Lytechinus pictus: one gene and its partner. The protein of the gene in region 2 purifies or fractionates together with the protein of the main gene of each other region. This does not show direct contact. Links are inferred from orthologs where the notes say so. Each region holds a gene or a part of one and is shown on either strand. Other genes may lie near its edges.

The links. The genes of interacting proteins can lie anywhere in the genome.
Region 1: the proteins of exosome complex component RRP4-like (region 2) and exosome complex exonuclease RRP44-like purify together in Drosophila melanogaster (affinity purification with western blotting; 3 studies listed by BioGRID, with this or other methods). This does not show direct contact. The link is inferred for Lytechinus pictus from reciprocal best matches to the Drosophila melanogaster genes Rrp4 and Dis3.

What each region holds. Positions count from the first base shown.
Region 1 is NC_087249.1:53,877,129-53,884,585, forward strand, and holds the start of exosome complex exonuclease RRP44-like, read right to left. Parts: upstream 3,013-7,457; 5' UTR 2,876-3,012; coding exon 2,651-2,875; intron 1,530-2,650; coding exon 1,467-1,529; intron 1,060-1,466; coding exon 965-1,059; intron 142-964; coding exon 1-141.
Region 2 is NC_087259.1:10,557,120-10,564,727, forward strand, and holds the start of exosome complex component RRP4-like, read right to left. Parts: upstream 3,009-7,608; 5' UTR 2,869-3,008; coding exon 2,756-2,868; intron 1-2,755. Other genes in the region: ubiquinone biosynthesis protein COQ4 homolog, mitochondrial-like, read left to right, coding at 5,358-5,481.

The sequences.
Region 1 (7,457 bases), on a different chromosome or scaffold from region 2:
TTATCAACATCATTGGTGAGTAGGACAATCTTGATCTTAGTGTCTTTGAAGTGATTATCATACCAAGTAAGGCTCTTCCGTATTGCTCTATCGTTGAAGTCATTAGGAGATTCCTTTGGTTCGATCTCAATATATGTCTCTCTGAGGAAAAGAAAATAATGATAAAGGATGAGTTGTGATCTCCAAACTGGCGCTCCAGGGAGCATTTCATGAAACTAATACATGAAGCCAGCAATTTCCACTGAAAATGTTATAAGCTACTGAAATCCTTGCATCTGATTGGCTCTGCATAGTCTGTCAGTGAAATCATTCAAAAGAAGCTCCATGAAACACTATACTGGACTGGTCATGTTTAATAAAGCTTGTTATCGATGGCAACTTGCCACTACAATAAGCTAAAGCAATCTCGCCAAGTTAATTAAATGGCTAAGAAGATATTCATTACTAATTTATGGTATTTCATTTTGGTAACAAGTTTCATGATAGCTAGTCCCTAATGCCCACTAAGTAAAAACATGGGCAGCCAGGCCTGTGGGCAACAGAAAATTTTATAATACCAGTGTTGTAATACTTCTGCCTGATCATAACCTGGCAAAAACAACTTGACCTGATTTATTTCAAAGCCATGTTATGCCACTGCCTTGACCTTCTTTAATAATAAAAATACATGTGCTACATGTATACACTTATCAAGCACACTATCGTGCAGAGGAGGTACATGGCATAAGCCTATCGATAAACCTTTCTCTTTAATAAGAGTAAGGAAAATGTTTACTTAGGATACCAAAATGATGATAAATATAATACTTGTATCCAGCATTATAGTCACATGGAAAAATTCTGTATTACGGTATGGGCATTTATCTCTCTGACTTTGAAAATATTTTAAAAACATAATGTTAATTGTAAGATCCACAACATTGACCATAAATGATGATAAATCAAAGTGAAGTCATATCCTCACCTGTGGTGTTCATTTGTGAATACATAGAACTTTTTTTTGTCATTTGCAATGAGATCTCGTATCCTTTTGTACGATGGCAAACTTCTGTGTTTGACCTGAAAATAGAAAGTGACATTTTATTTAGTATTAAGACTGGCGCATTTTATCACAATTAATGTGATTAAAAAGCAGTCTTGAATTGAACAGAAAACTCATTTATCTCCCAGTGACAAGATGAACTACCAATACAACAGTGTAAGACAAAACCTAATAAAATAGGCATCTAAAAATCAATGCGATTTCAGAAAGCACTTTCAGATATTTAGCTATAAAAAGCTTCTTACAAATGAGAACTTATTTTTTTACACTTATGTAAGATTTAGTGGCATCACTACCCTAAATTCTCATCTTTGCAGTCCCTTTATCACAATATACCATCTTGAAAACACCTTCACCACAAGTCTTCTTTTTATATAATTAATACACACATAATTTAATCAATAAATTTGTATTTAGCCCATACCTCATTCTGAACTGTCTGCAGGAGAATGACATTTTTAATTGCTTTGTCCTCCAGTATATCCACCTGTGAAAGATAGAAAAAATACCCTTGAGAAATGTGCATGTATAGATACAAATGTGATGTGGGAGTTGTACTTCTGGGCCCTGTCTTACAAAGAGTTATGATTGATCCAATCAACCACAACTATGGAAAGCCAGCAACGTCAACATCTAAAATACATGTTTGTTCAAAATTCCAGATATGATGCATATTCATACATTCACTGTTTTCTTGACAATTCAATATGCTTCTCATTCTATTCAAAGGACATTGTGCAAATTTCCTAAAGAAAAAATTATGACATTGATGAATCATACTCTTTGTATCACCCACCCACCCTTCTTCGATCGCCGTCAGCACAGCTACAGCTGAGCATATGAATGAGCTGTAGCTGACGGCGATCAAAGAAGAACCTGGCTGATCCAAATATGTTTGTCATCAAAATTTGCTATTTTCCAGCATATTTTTCAGAAAGGTGGTAAGCTGATTGTATTTTATATCAATTCATCTTAATTATTTCTTCCTTTTCCCCCATCATAAAGCAAAATTTATGAGTAATAGAGCCTAGAGGGTGCAAAAGTGTACCCTGGCCTTAGTTTCTCCAGACGCTGTACTGTAAGTGTAATTAAGCGGAGGTTGTTTGCTCCACCATTACGAACCTAGCTAATCATGCAAATGGCCGTCATCCGTCTTTGTAGTGTAGGACCAAAAAATCTGAAAATATTGAAAAACTACTCCAAAACAGCAGATTTATCAGTCTTCGTCAGACCATACGGCATTATCCACCACTCCATTCACTGCCGTTTATTTTGTCATGTTCATCAGTGGCGGCGACTTTTTTCATCTCCCATTGACTTTACTAAACAACGAGCGCACACACACACTGATACACACGAGAAGAAAGGTGACTTATTTCAGGATAAGGACGACCACATTTTAAATTTGATTGCAACTTTTGCGAGCAAGCCAAGAATAAATCATGTGACCACTCCACTGTCCACTCACCAGTGTTTTTTTTTTTTTTTTACTTTTCTTTTGCTAGGCCCTAGTATTAAATCTTTGATGTTCCAACCATGCCAACTAATTGAGCAGCCATTAATTGCCCACAATCATGAAATCCTATTCTTTTCAAGAGGACAGCTCACCTGATGCAAAACTACATTTGTATCAAGAAGGAGATAATGAGGATAGCGGCACAACGTGTTTGCCACTTCGGGCACGGGCTCCTTCTCCAAGACCGGCTTATCCATTGAGCATTTGGAACAAACAGCGGATCCACACCAAATATCGTCCCTCAGATAGTGCTCCCTCACAACCTTCATCACTCCTCCTTTCCGAGTCTTCTTCACAAAACTCCTGGAAGTCAGCATGGTTGACTTACTGACCTTATTCAAAGATCACAAAAACCTAAAACGTTGAAGAAAAACTTAATTTCATGAATGATCTTCTCCGTCGGCACAAGACATTTGCACGCGAGACCATTATGTTTACCATTTGATATGGTGTCTTCGATCACGATCAAAATGAAAAATTGGGGCAACCGTAGCGTAGGGGAAGGCGGGGTAAGTTGAGCATAGGGGCAAGTTGAGCCACCACCTCCCAGAAGCGGATCTAAAGGGGGGGTTGCAACCCCCCCCCCCCCAAAAAAAAAAAAAAAAAAAAAATCCGGGGACCATTTTTTTAAATCTTATCTTTTTTTTTTAACTTGTAATTCCATTTTCACACACAGATTTTCAAAAATTTTCCCTACTGTGGGAGGGGGGACACCCCCTCCCACACCCTCCCCCCTCGCTCGCTCCGCTCGCTTGGACTCGGTCGCTACGCTCCCTCGCATACCACCCCAACCCCCCCCTTTATAAAAAGCTGGATCCGCCCCTGACCTCCAGGCCAATAATAGATGAGTCAGACATTGTGGTGGTGTCATGTATTGATAACCATTACATAACTCTTAACCCCACCACATTGTTTTCAACTTTGAAACAAAAAGTACTTTTTTAGAGGGAAAAATACAAATTTCAGCCAAAAAAGTAAAAAATGGTGTGAAATAGATCACTGCTTTTTACCCACACACGTCTTTAAGTACAACTGTATAATAAAGAAATAAGAACAAGATTGTTAGTCCAGGTATGGATTCTCATTCTTGTCATAGTCTTTTACATGATGGATGCATAAGAAATGTGTGGATGTGAAAATATCGCATTAAGTTCCGACTGGGGTAATTTCAGCCAGCCAAAATGGGGCAAGTTGAGCAATGGTAATTCGTATGGTAATGTATAATCAAATGATTAAACAAAAACCTTAAAAAGCCATTGATATGCAGGCAGAAAGGAGCAAATTCACATGACAGTTCTTTTACTTTTAGAGGATGTTAGTATTTATAGATATAGCAAGTGAAAAGACTTTAAATAATAAATTGACGTGCGGGTTCGCATACAATTTGTACATAGTTTTTGTGGCTCAACTTACCCCAGAAGGTGGCACAACTTACCCCACAGATGGGAAAAGTTGAGCCATTTGACATCGTTTTTTTCAAAGGTCAGAGTGTCTTTTAGTGTGGGGGTAGAGAGTTATATATAGGTGAAAAATATTTCCAAATAATCAAATTAAAAGGCATGCAAGGTACTTATTTCTACAATATCATTAGTCATATCAGATCTAACATGCAAAATGCAAAAAGTGTCACAACTTACCCCGCCTTCCCCTACGTACCGATCAAAGCTGCGAATCGTCTGGAAATCGAGCATTAAAATGAGCAAATGTGCCGGGGGCAGGCGTGGATTAAGCCGGGGAGGGGGCACAGGGGGCACGTGCCCCCTCCCTTTGAGAAGCAAAAATTAAAATTTGTAATGTAAAAATGCCATTAAAACATAGGTGTGCCCCTATATTCCTTAAAGGACAAGTCCACTCCAACAAAAATTGATTTGAATAAAAAGAGAAAAATCCAACAAGTAAAACACTGAAAATTTCATCAAAATTGGATTTAAAATAAGAAAGTTATGACATTTTAAGTTTCGCTTAATTTCACAAAATATTTATATACACATCCTGTTTGGTATGCAAATGAGGAGACTGATGACGTCATCCACTCACTATTTCTTTTGTATTGTATTATATGAAATATGAAACATTCTAATTTTCTCCTCATTGTCCAGTGAAACAACACTCTAAAAACAAATCAGTCAAAAATGACTGGTTAATTGGGTCAGCTGGGTGCAACTGTTATTCTAGTCATATTTGACTATTTTCTAGTCATATTTTACTAGAATAGAGTTATTTCTGACTAGAATATATGTCAGAAATGTGACTATCAGTGATTGCCATATCAGTTGCTCCCAGCTGACTACTGGTCTAGTCAATTTGACTGATCGGTTTTAAGAGTGAATGATTAATTCCTCCATGAACATGTGGAATTAGCATTGTTTAATACTATATTATTCAGTCAGGTCGGTCCCTATGGTCAAATCTGTAAAAAATGAAATATTGTATAATTCAAACAATAAAAAACAAAAGAAATAGTGAGTGATGGACATCATCGACTGACTCATTCGCATGTCACTGAGTTGTGCATATCACTGTTTTGTGAAAAATAAGCGAAACTTTAAAATGCCATAACTTTCTTATTTTACATCTGATTTTGATGAAATTTTCAGTGTTATGCTAGTTTGATTTTCTCTATTTATTCAAATCAACATTTTGCTGGGGTGGACTTGACCTTTGATTGAATATCTTTTTTTTTTGCTTCTCAATTTTTTTTCTGGTACGAAATACCCTTAATTTGTTGCTGAAAACCTTTTTTTGGGGCTCGTCAAATTTTTTCGGGTACAAAATATCCTTTAATCCTTTATTTTAATCCGAAAAAAATTGCCCCCCCCCCCATTGGAAAATTCTGGATCCGCCCCTTAGGGATAGGGGAAGCAAGGGGGAAGGGGCAGGCTGCCCCCCCCCCCCCGGTGGATTTCACCGGGAAAGCGAAAAAACGGGAAAATAGAAAAGGGAGGAGAAAGAAAGGGCACATAGTAAAGGGAAAGGAATTAAAGGGAGAAAAGAGGAAAGAGGAAAAGGCAAAGGGTAAAAGTGAAAAGAAAACTAAGAAGAAAGAAAAATGGGAAACGGAAGGAAAGCGGGAAAAGGAACGAAAGAAGAAGATGTGAGAAAGAATAAACCATTCTGAAATAGCATGATACATGATTGAGAAAGGGATATGAATTAAAACATAGGCGGATCTAGGGGGGCCCGAGGGGCCCGGGCTCCCCCCCCCCCCCTATTGGCGGAGCAAAAAAAAGAAAAAAATGAAAAAAAGAAAAAAAGAAAGAAAAAAGAAGAAAAAAGGAAAAGAGCGGAGAAAAAAGAAGAAGAGGAAGACGGGTGAATTAAAAAATATTGAAATGAGGGGAAAACTTGGAAAAATAAAAAGAATCTTTCATGTCACTATACAAAATTTTCGCTGGCGCATCGCGCTCGCATTGCCTGTTAGGTGATTTACATAACTAACTTGTTCAATATTGAGCTTAAATACCAAGTTTGGAAGTCAATATACAAAACATATTTCACCTCGGAAATCGAACTTTCATTATTTTGTGTGATTTACAAATTGATTTTTATAAAGTGCTATGTAAAAATGTCAGTTATTTGAATATTAAAATTTTCTGCTCGCGCTGTGCGCTCGCAAATTTTGATTTATCAGGTACTTATTATTTTCGTGAATTCCATTAAGTTTTTCAAAATATCCCTTTTCAGGTCTGATTGTCAAAACGTATCAGCTAGCGCTGCATGCTTGCATTTTGATTGGCGATTTATGTTTGTGTCAATATTGATTACACAACAAACTACTTAAAATCTCCTTTTCATGACAGTTTATCAAAAATTTTGGCTCGCGATTTGCACTCGCATTAATTCCGCACCCACATTATGCATTTATAAATAAGATATCAATTTAATAATTAAATTGTCCCTTTTGTTTCATCTCGCGCTTAGCAAGAGGAATAGAAAAATAGTCATCATTTTCAAATGATGACATGTCCTAAGGATTTCCCAGTCCTTTGTCAAAACTAAAAAAAATAATAATGATGAAAAGTATCAGCCCTTTATTAAGTGCGATCCATATCCACCTCACAATTTTTCTACAAAGTGCTTGCCTATAGAGCTGAAAATGACCCTTTTTTAAGATCGGAATATCAAATATTTTATGCTCGCGCTTCGCGCTCGCTTTGATTTTCATGATAAAAGATGTATTTAGAATGCCTAGATTCTTGGATTAAATCTGAAACACGCGCGTGCATCTGCTCGCGCTTTGTGCTCGCATTATTAATGTAGGAAGATCCCCTATTAGTCACCCTTTTCATGATTTACAAAACATGAACAGAGTGTACCATTTTTAGGTCTAAATCTCGAATTTTTCCGCTCGCATCAATAATTGTTTAGTTATATGACAGTTTATCAAAAATTTTGGCTCGCGATTTGCACTCGCATTAATTCCGCACCCACATTATGCATTTATAAATAAGATATCAATTTAATAATTAAATAGAACTGTTGATTTCCATGCCCAAAATCCAACAGCCATTTGGCTATGCCCGCTTTGTGATATGATGAACTTTGCTAGCTCATTTTTTTACTCTTCACTTGACTCTAATAAATCTACAGAATCTATATTGAACTTAAGTGGGTCTAACTCCTTTGAAAGTCTTACGTCCCTTAATGAGGGCACCGAGGACGTTGAACTACGTTATGACCACTGGAATAAAGTAAATCATCAAGCCCAATTCGTACCAGTTCAGGACTAGGCCCCCTAAATGATTCTAAAGTCGGAGTTGGACGCCGTGAGAAAGACCTAAGAGTAACTCCACTGAAACTTACAAGAACCAGCAACAGTTGGACGATTGTTGGAAAAAATGGAAAAAGTAACATTCCAACTGATAGAACTTCACCAACAAATAGACTTTCTTGCCTAAA
Region 2 (7,608 bases):
TAATCTGTCGAGATTTGCTGAACCATTAAATCAGGTAAACATGAGATAAAAATCGTTTCTCTTGGGACTCATTTGGGCAGCCACTGAAGTGATTTTAAAACATGAGCCACGCGAGCAATTGCCTTGGGTGGTGATGGACATTTCATTGATTTTTTTTTTTAATCAGCGACTTTACAAATAAAAAATAATAATACATATTCTAATAACTTTTTAAATCTTTGATGGATTTTCCTCAAACTTTCACCAATATTTATCTTTTTTTTCTCCTATCTGTACAATAAACTTTTTGTCAGGGTGAACTCCCCCTTTAATGATTGGTCACTTGGAAATGAAACCTACGTATCATGAACGTGTTTTCAGTTGGGAAAATTTGGAAATTGCAAAATCACTTATCGTTTATTTCTACCATGTTTATTTTTTAAAGAAAATTGAGACTTCGAAAAAGTGTTTTTGACCATTTTCATCATTTTGCAATTAAAATTCCCTTTAGAAAGATGTTGCAAAGTCTTAGGGATATTTCTGATCTGTACGATGCAGGATCTAGGGGCGGGGGAGTTTTTTTTTGTATGGTAGTTTTTATTTGACAACTTCAGTTCATATACAAAATAAAATACATATAAGAAATAGAAGTTTGATGTCTTTACAAATTGATAAATACCTTGACAACTCATAAATTTAACACCATTTTTCCCCTTTAGTGTTACAATAAAACACAATGTCAGCTCTTCCAATACATAATTATAAATAACATTGATGATGATTATAATATGCATTAAGAATAAAAACTAATTCTACAATAAATTCAACATATTTATTTTTTCCAGTGTCAAATATCAACATGAAAAAGAGATTTTCCAAATACACATTGGCATGACATATCGATTAGAAATACCTAAAAAATCTATTTTTAGATATTTCTAATCGATGTGTCGATCATGCGGTCTCATGCCCCCCCCCCCCCCGCCACTAGATTATTAATCAATAGAAGAAACTGTACACACATGTAAAAAACAATACAATAAATTATAGTCTGTTTTAGATGAAAGAATGAAAAATAAACGTTAAAAACAAGCAATTAGCCGTCAAACAAATAACATTAACTTTACATCTCGCTCCCGCGCCCGGGATCTTGTTTTTCTCCTTTGACAAATTCATGCACACACGTGTCGCCCTAAGCCCCATTTCCAGCAAGCTAGCCAACACTCATTGTGAGTAACTTGTGACATGACAGCAGATGACATGAGAAATTGAGAATGAACGTTAAGAATATTACTTAGAAAGTAATTAGCGGGAAAATTATGAGGAACAATTCATTTTATGATAAAAATTTCTTGAAAACTATCAGAAAACGGTATCATGTAAAAATGAAAGGCTACGTCGGACCCAGGTCGCACCGCGGACAATTCAGTTCTAACATACATTGTAGCATGCATGTCCGGCTCAGCTAGGCGCGCTGGCAACGCTAGTGTGGCTGCTCAGGCTTGGCTGGCTGGCTCGCCGGCCGGCTGGAAGTGGAAATGCGCCAGTTTCTACGCATGGATATTTTCCGGTCATCAATAATAACATCGTAGTTTGTCTGTTGCCGAAATGATTCTGAAACATCCTTTACTTTTGAGGATTGATGATGAATGATGCAACAATTATTTCCGATGACTTTTCCCCACTTTTTATGATTTTTTAAAATTTTTTTTAATTTATTTTTTTGCCTGTGTCGCTCGCGTTTTGCACGTGACGCATATAGAGCTTGTGGAATTTACGTGTGTCGCATGCGACGCGTGTGTTCTACACTGGCGAGAACGTTGGTAGCAACATCTTCACATTTTCTGGTAGCCAAGTGGTTTATCTATCAATGTGACATGTTTCCATGGCAGCTCACAGAGGCTCAAACAGTCTAGGTCAGCATAAAGACTTAAAAATGCCAATTTTCAGCCACTAGCCCACACAGCTTATAGCCTAGGCTAAACTAATATGGGGATGGGCCAAAATGCATTTCCAGACACATTTTATAGGGCATTTAACTATTAAGCCTTATTTTTCACTATGTAGGAAATTTTATGGTAAGTTTTGAGCAATGTCTTTGACAATGATGCTAATAGGTAATGCTTTTTTAGTAGAAATGCCATTTTGTTTTTTTCGTTGTCCTACCTAACCATATTATTTTCTGAACTTAGTCTTAGATTATGTTAGAAGCTAGTCCCTAGTTTATTCTTTTTATTCAAATGAACTGTTGTTGGACAAATTCAGGGCCGGGTATGTGCAGTTACACATAATTACACTGATTATGTTGCTATGTCTTTGAACAGGCTTGGCTATTTTTTTTTCTTCCAATCAATGACAATGGTGAATCATAATGGATCACAATTTGTTTTGACAAAAAATGAAAAATACTAATTTACAATCATTATCAAAATTGGGCATGTTGGGTAGCATTTTGAAGATTGAACATGGTCATGCGAGTTCAGAAACAAAGTCTTACGTCCAAACTTCTGCCTTGCTTTAAATATTTGGCTAAAAAAAGAGAATAAAAACAAAACAAAACAAAAACACCCGTTCCCCAAGGCAAGACAAGTCCACGACGCGTATTCGCCACATTCAGGCTCTAGTCTACTCTTGAAGTTGAACTCCGCCGCTGCGCCGGCGGTGGAACTTCGACTTTTGCCATGCCCCCACATGGCCCAGCGCGGCGGCCACCCACGGGCACGGGAATGCCGTCATGGCCGTTCCCGTCGCTACTACTGGTCCATTAATTCATCACCTCATAAAATCTGTGTCGGCTGTAATGGTTGCTCCTGGTGTTACTAATCGTTGAGGTTCTGTAAATTCATCACAAACTCGTCTTTCACGAGGAGCGGTGATGGATATTGCCATTTTCCTTCCCAACTTTCGTGCACAAATAGGTCAAACGTACTGGCCTAACTAACTGAGCTAGTCAACTGAACATGCAGACAATTTTAATATGACAGCAGCAAATTGGTATCTTTCAATCGCGAATAGGAGTCATTTCGTCTGAAGTGTGGATGTCAAGTCAAAACTATTCAAATTTATTGTCAATCATGCTCAAGTAAAATAAGTGAAATAAATCAACAGAAATGTCAATGCGATTCCATAAATTTCAGTTAGGTTTTAAGTAAATTTTATCTCGCTGTGAAGATTTCAAATGGATTTCCCCCCTATTTTGATTGATTAATGCTTGCCAAAGTCTCTTTGGGCCAAAGAACAGGGGAGAACAGTATATATGAGTCGTGCTACACTATTATTGCAGCACTTCTGTAAATTTAGTTGGTATGGTATAATGTATATCATTAGGCTTCTATTACCAAATTGACACATAATAAGCGATAATCACAATAGGTTTGACCAAATTCACCTTCATTCTTACAAAAAAAACCACGTTAATTCTTTAAGCCTGTCAGTCACTCTAAAAACAAGTTAATTGTTGAAACTTTTTAACAAAACTTGTTTAGAAAGTTTAAACAGTGGTTGTTAGAGTGACGGGCTTAAACAAAGTGCTTTCAATTTTAAACAGCGTTTTTTTACAGTCATTTTGTTTCTTGTTTTGTTTTTTGCTTGTCAATTTTTTCTTAATATAGAAGCAGAACCCCTCTTATAGAAAATCGGTCCCAGCCCAGGCCCCTCTCCCCTTTAATGTTTTATTTAGCTATACGTCCATTATTCATCAATTGAGAAATTTGAGGGGCGTCGCACCTATACTGCTTGACTTCATTTTTAAGTTTTTTTTATTTGTTTTGCTTTCATAATCTATTTGTTTATTAGTTTGATTCAATTGACTTATTCGAAAATATGAAAGACCGAATGAATTAACTTCTTGAATGAAAACAAAAATGAATTATCTCTTTGCTTATGCACTAGGGGTGGTGGAGCAAAGTTATAGGGGGCACAGGGGAAAAAGGCACCTTTTCTTTTCTCTTAAAACAAATAAAAATGATTCATCTACAGCCTAATGGGGCAACATTTTTGAGGGGGCTAGATATATCACGTTAATTTATAAGAAGCTGCGATTTTTCCATTATATTCAGCAAATAACACATTTCATTGCTTCCATTCATTTCATAATACGTTGTATCATATCATTTCTTTTATTTCCTATTGGGTGTGGACCCAAGACCCCCCCCCCCCTCCGTCCCCGGGCCTGTATACGCCCCCTGCCCCCGCCTGTTACGCCACTGCCACTCACATAGCTTAAGGCACGTAGGATTATCCTTACAAGTTTTGTATATAAACATATACATATAAACAAAAATTAGAATAGTTTTCTTGTTTCAAAGGGGCAATCGATCGTTAACTAAAATCCATCTCATGTGAAAGGGGCAGTACAGAACATGTTTGTGTGCATGGGGCACTGATACGAGATAGGGCACTTACAAGAAGGCATTTCTAGGGCCGGGCACTTAATTGCTCACACATAAAACGGGCCATATAGTCAAGGGACATAAGCAAGGGCACTTTCTCGCACATAAAACGGGTCTTTCTATTAAGGTGAAAGGATCACAGAACACGTTCAAGGGGGTGCATTTTTGCTTTAAAAAATTGATTGGCACTTATACGAGAAAGGGCACTGCACCTAAAACGGGTCCTCCTCAGGTGAAAGGGGCACAGAACACGTTCGTGAGGGGGCATTTTCGTGCGTAAAAAGGACACTTTCAGTGCTTCAAAAAGTGGGGGGGGGGGGGGTACACGTGCCCCCCACACCCCCAGGATCGCCGCCCCTGTTATGCATGATTATATCACCTAGTGAAGTTTTAGATATGACAATATATAAACTGGAAAAAACGATAATGTTTTGCAAGGCTTTTGTTTCCATTTAAAATTAAATTTCTGGAGGATTTTGGAGAAAGGCATTTGTATTATTATTTTTATTTACTAGGGGCAGCGCTGCTGCATGCATATATGTTCAAGTTGACCCCTAAATCCAAACTCCTCATGAGTAGGCCTGCTACTACTATTGAAAAATGAAATAAAGCCATCTTGATCTTATCCTTTATTTTCAAAAGTGAATTGATTTATTTTATTCCCGGCCCCCGTTGCTTTTAATTGTGTGGTACTTGATATTAGTATATAATTATCTCTGTTGATTGCATAGAGATATATACTAATAACGTAATTAGTATACATCTCTATGGTTGATTGGTAAGTTTGGTATCATCATGGACCTACTAGCTAGTAGGTCCATGGTATCATACAGTACTTGACTTGTAAACGTTATTGCGCAATGATGAGCTACATACAGCTCTATATTAATCGATAACTTTAGTTGTATACCGGTACCTTTCGAGTTTACTGAGACTGGAGTCCGTTTAATGAATGTCACTCATCAAACACATACTATTAAAACATAAATGGCCTTGACAATTTGTAATAGACCTACTGTGTTCAATAGGTTCAGTAGGACGACGCGGATGAAGAAAAATAGGAATTGCACTTGGAGTATCTTTCGAAATTTACATCAAAATCAGCGAAAGGGTAAGTAACGCGCAACGCCAACGGCCTACTGCCGCGGCTGCTGCCCGCCGCGTCCCCGGCCCCGATTGTGCTCGCCCGCTCTCTGAGCGCGAGCTTACTCGGCAAGCTCGCGCCGAATTATTGCTTAGCGCCTCGCCTTCGGCTGGTGCGTTTGCGGACAAAAGCGTGGGCCCGGTGAACGTTCAATCAATTTCAATCCAATCCAAAATGATTTTATTTTCTGAATCTTTAAAACATACGAATTCATATTTGATATGCAGATAAGGGAAACAAAGTAAAAAAAAAAATGAAGCAGAAACAAAACAAACTGAAAACATAGACAAAGGGCAAGGTGCAAAAGAGTAACTATTGCTGTTCCCCTTTTCAGTCGGTCTACTCTAGTATGGCAGTGTATCCTATTACCGGACACCTTTATTTCAGTGCTTTAAAAATGACAACTAGAGGAAATACAATCAAGAAATTTTCACACTTGCTATTCCAAATATTATGAAAATTATGAATATGATAAAATTATTTTATATTTACCAACCATTTTCTTTGCATCGCACTTGCCGCATACCCCTCCACGAAAAACAATTATTTTCATGCGCGACAAATTACATCATGATTCCGGACGCGCGCCGGACGGGCAAAGATATCCTTGATTCTAATGATGTAAGAACAAATTTTTTTGATTTTTTTCTTCTTATATCATATCATGAGTAAATTCTAAGTATTATTTGCTTTTTTTTATATCGAATCTGAGCAGATGTTGGTAATAAATTCGTGTTTGATAACTTATTTTATTTTGTCTTGTTAGCTGCATGTTCCATGGCACTTTCCAATAATAATATGCTCGCGTTCGTATCGTGACGCTCATCAAGTTCTATCGATGCGCTGCCGATCGACGGCTCTAATCACGGTAAACCTCGCGCACGGGTACCTTGAGAACTAGCCGTCGACGGTCACCCACAATACACCACACCTCATCATTCGATCGAAGGAGTGGACGAGATTGAAATTCGGCAAATCAAATCAAATCGGCAAAATTTCATCATCGGATGTAAAATAAGAAAGTCCACCTCAAAAAAAAAATGTTGATTTAAATTTTAAATCAATAGAGGAAAATCAGATTTATCATAATGCTGGAAATTTCATCACAATTTTGCACAATTAATTTAGTCACATGCAAATGAAAGAATCAATGTTGTCCCTCGCTATTTCTTTTGTTTTTTATTGTTTGAATTATACGATATTTCAATTTTTACAGATTTGACAATAAGGACCAACTTGACTAAACAATAAAATGTTAAACAATGGTAATTCCCCATGTTCAGTGAGGAATAAAACTTTGTTTCGCAGGACAATGAGGAGAAAATAGGAATATTTTTGTTATTTCGTATAAGAAAATACAAAAGAAATAGTGAGTGACAGATGTCATTGGTTCCCTCATTTGGATACCAACCAGATGTGCATATAACTTTTTTGTGAAATTAAGCAAAACTTTAAAATGTCATGACTTTCGTATTTTACATCAGATTTTGATGAAATTTTCAGTGTTACGCTTGTTAGATTTTTCTCTTTTTATTCAAATCAATTCTTTGTTGGGGTGGAATTGTCTTTAATATTTTGAAGTCTTGCTTAATTTCACAAAATAGTTATATGCATATCATGGTCGGTATGCAAATGAGATGACCTATGATGTCATCCACTCACTATTTCTTTTGTATTTTTTATTATCTGAAATATTCTAATTTTCTCATTATTTTCCAATGAAACAAAGTGGCATTCATCCCTGCACATATATGCACATTTCATTTAAAAAAAATCCTTTTATGGTTCAGTCAAGTTGGCCCTTATTGTCAAATCTGTAGAAATTGAAATATTGTATAGAATTAAATTCAAACAAAAAATAAAAGAAATAGTTATAGTGAGTGAGGTACATCATTGTCTCATTCATTTGCATATCACCGAGTTGTGCATAGATAAAACTGTTTTGTGAAAAATAAGCAAAAATTTAAAATGTCATAACTTTCGTATTTTACATCCGATTTTGATGATATTTTCAGTATTGTACTTTTTTTATTTTTCTCTATTTTTCAAATCAACTTTTTTCTAGGGTGGACTTGACCTTTAAGTTTTGGATAT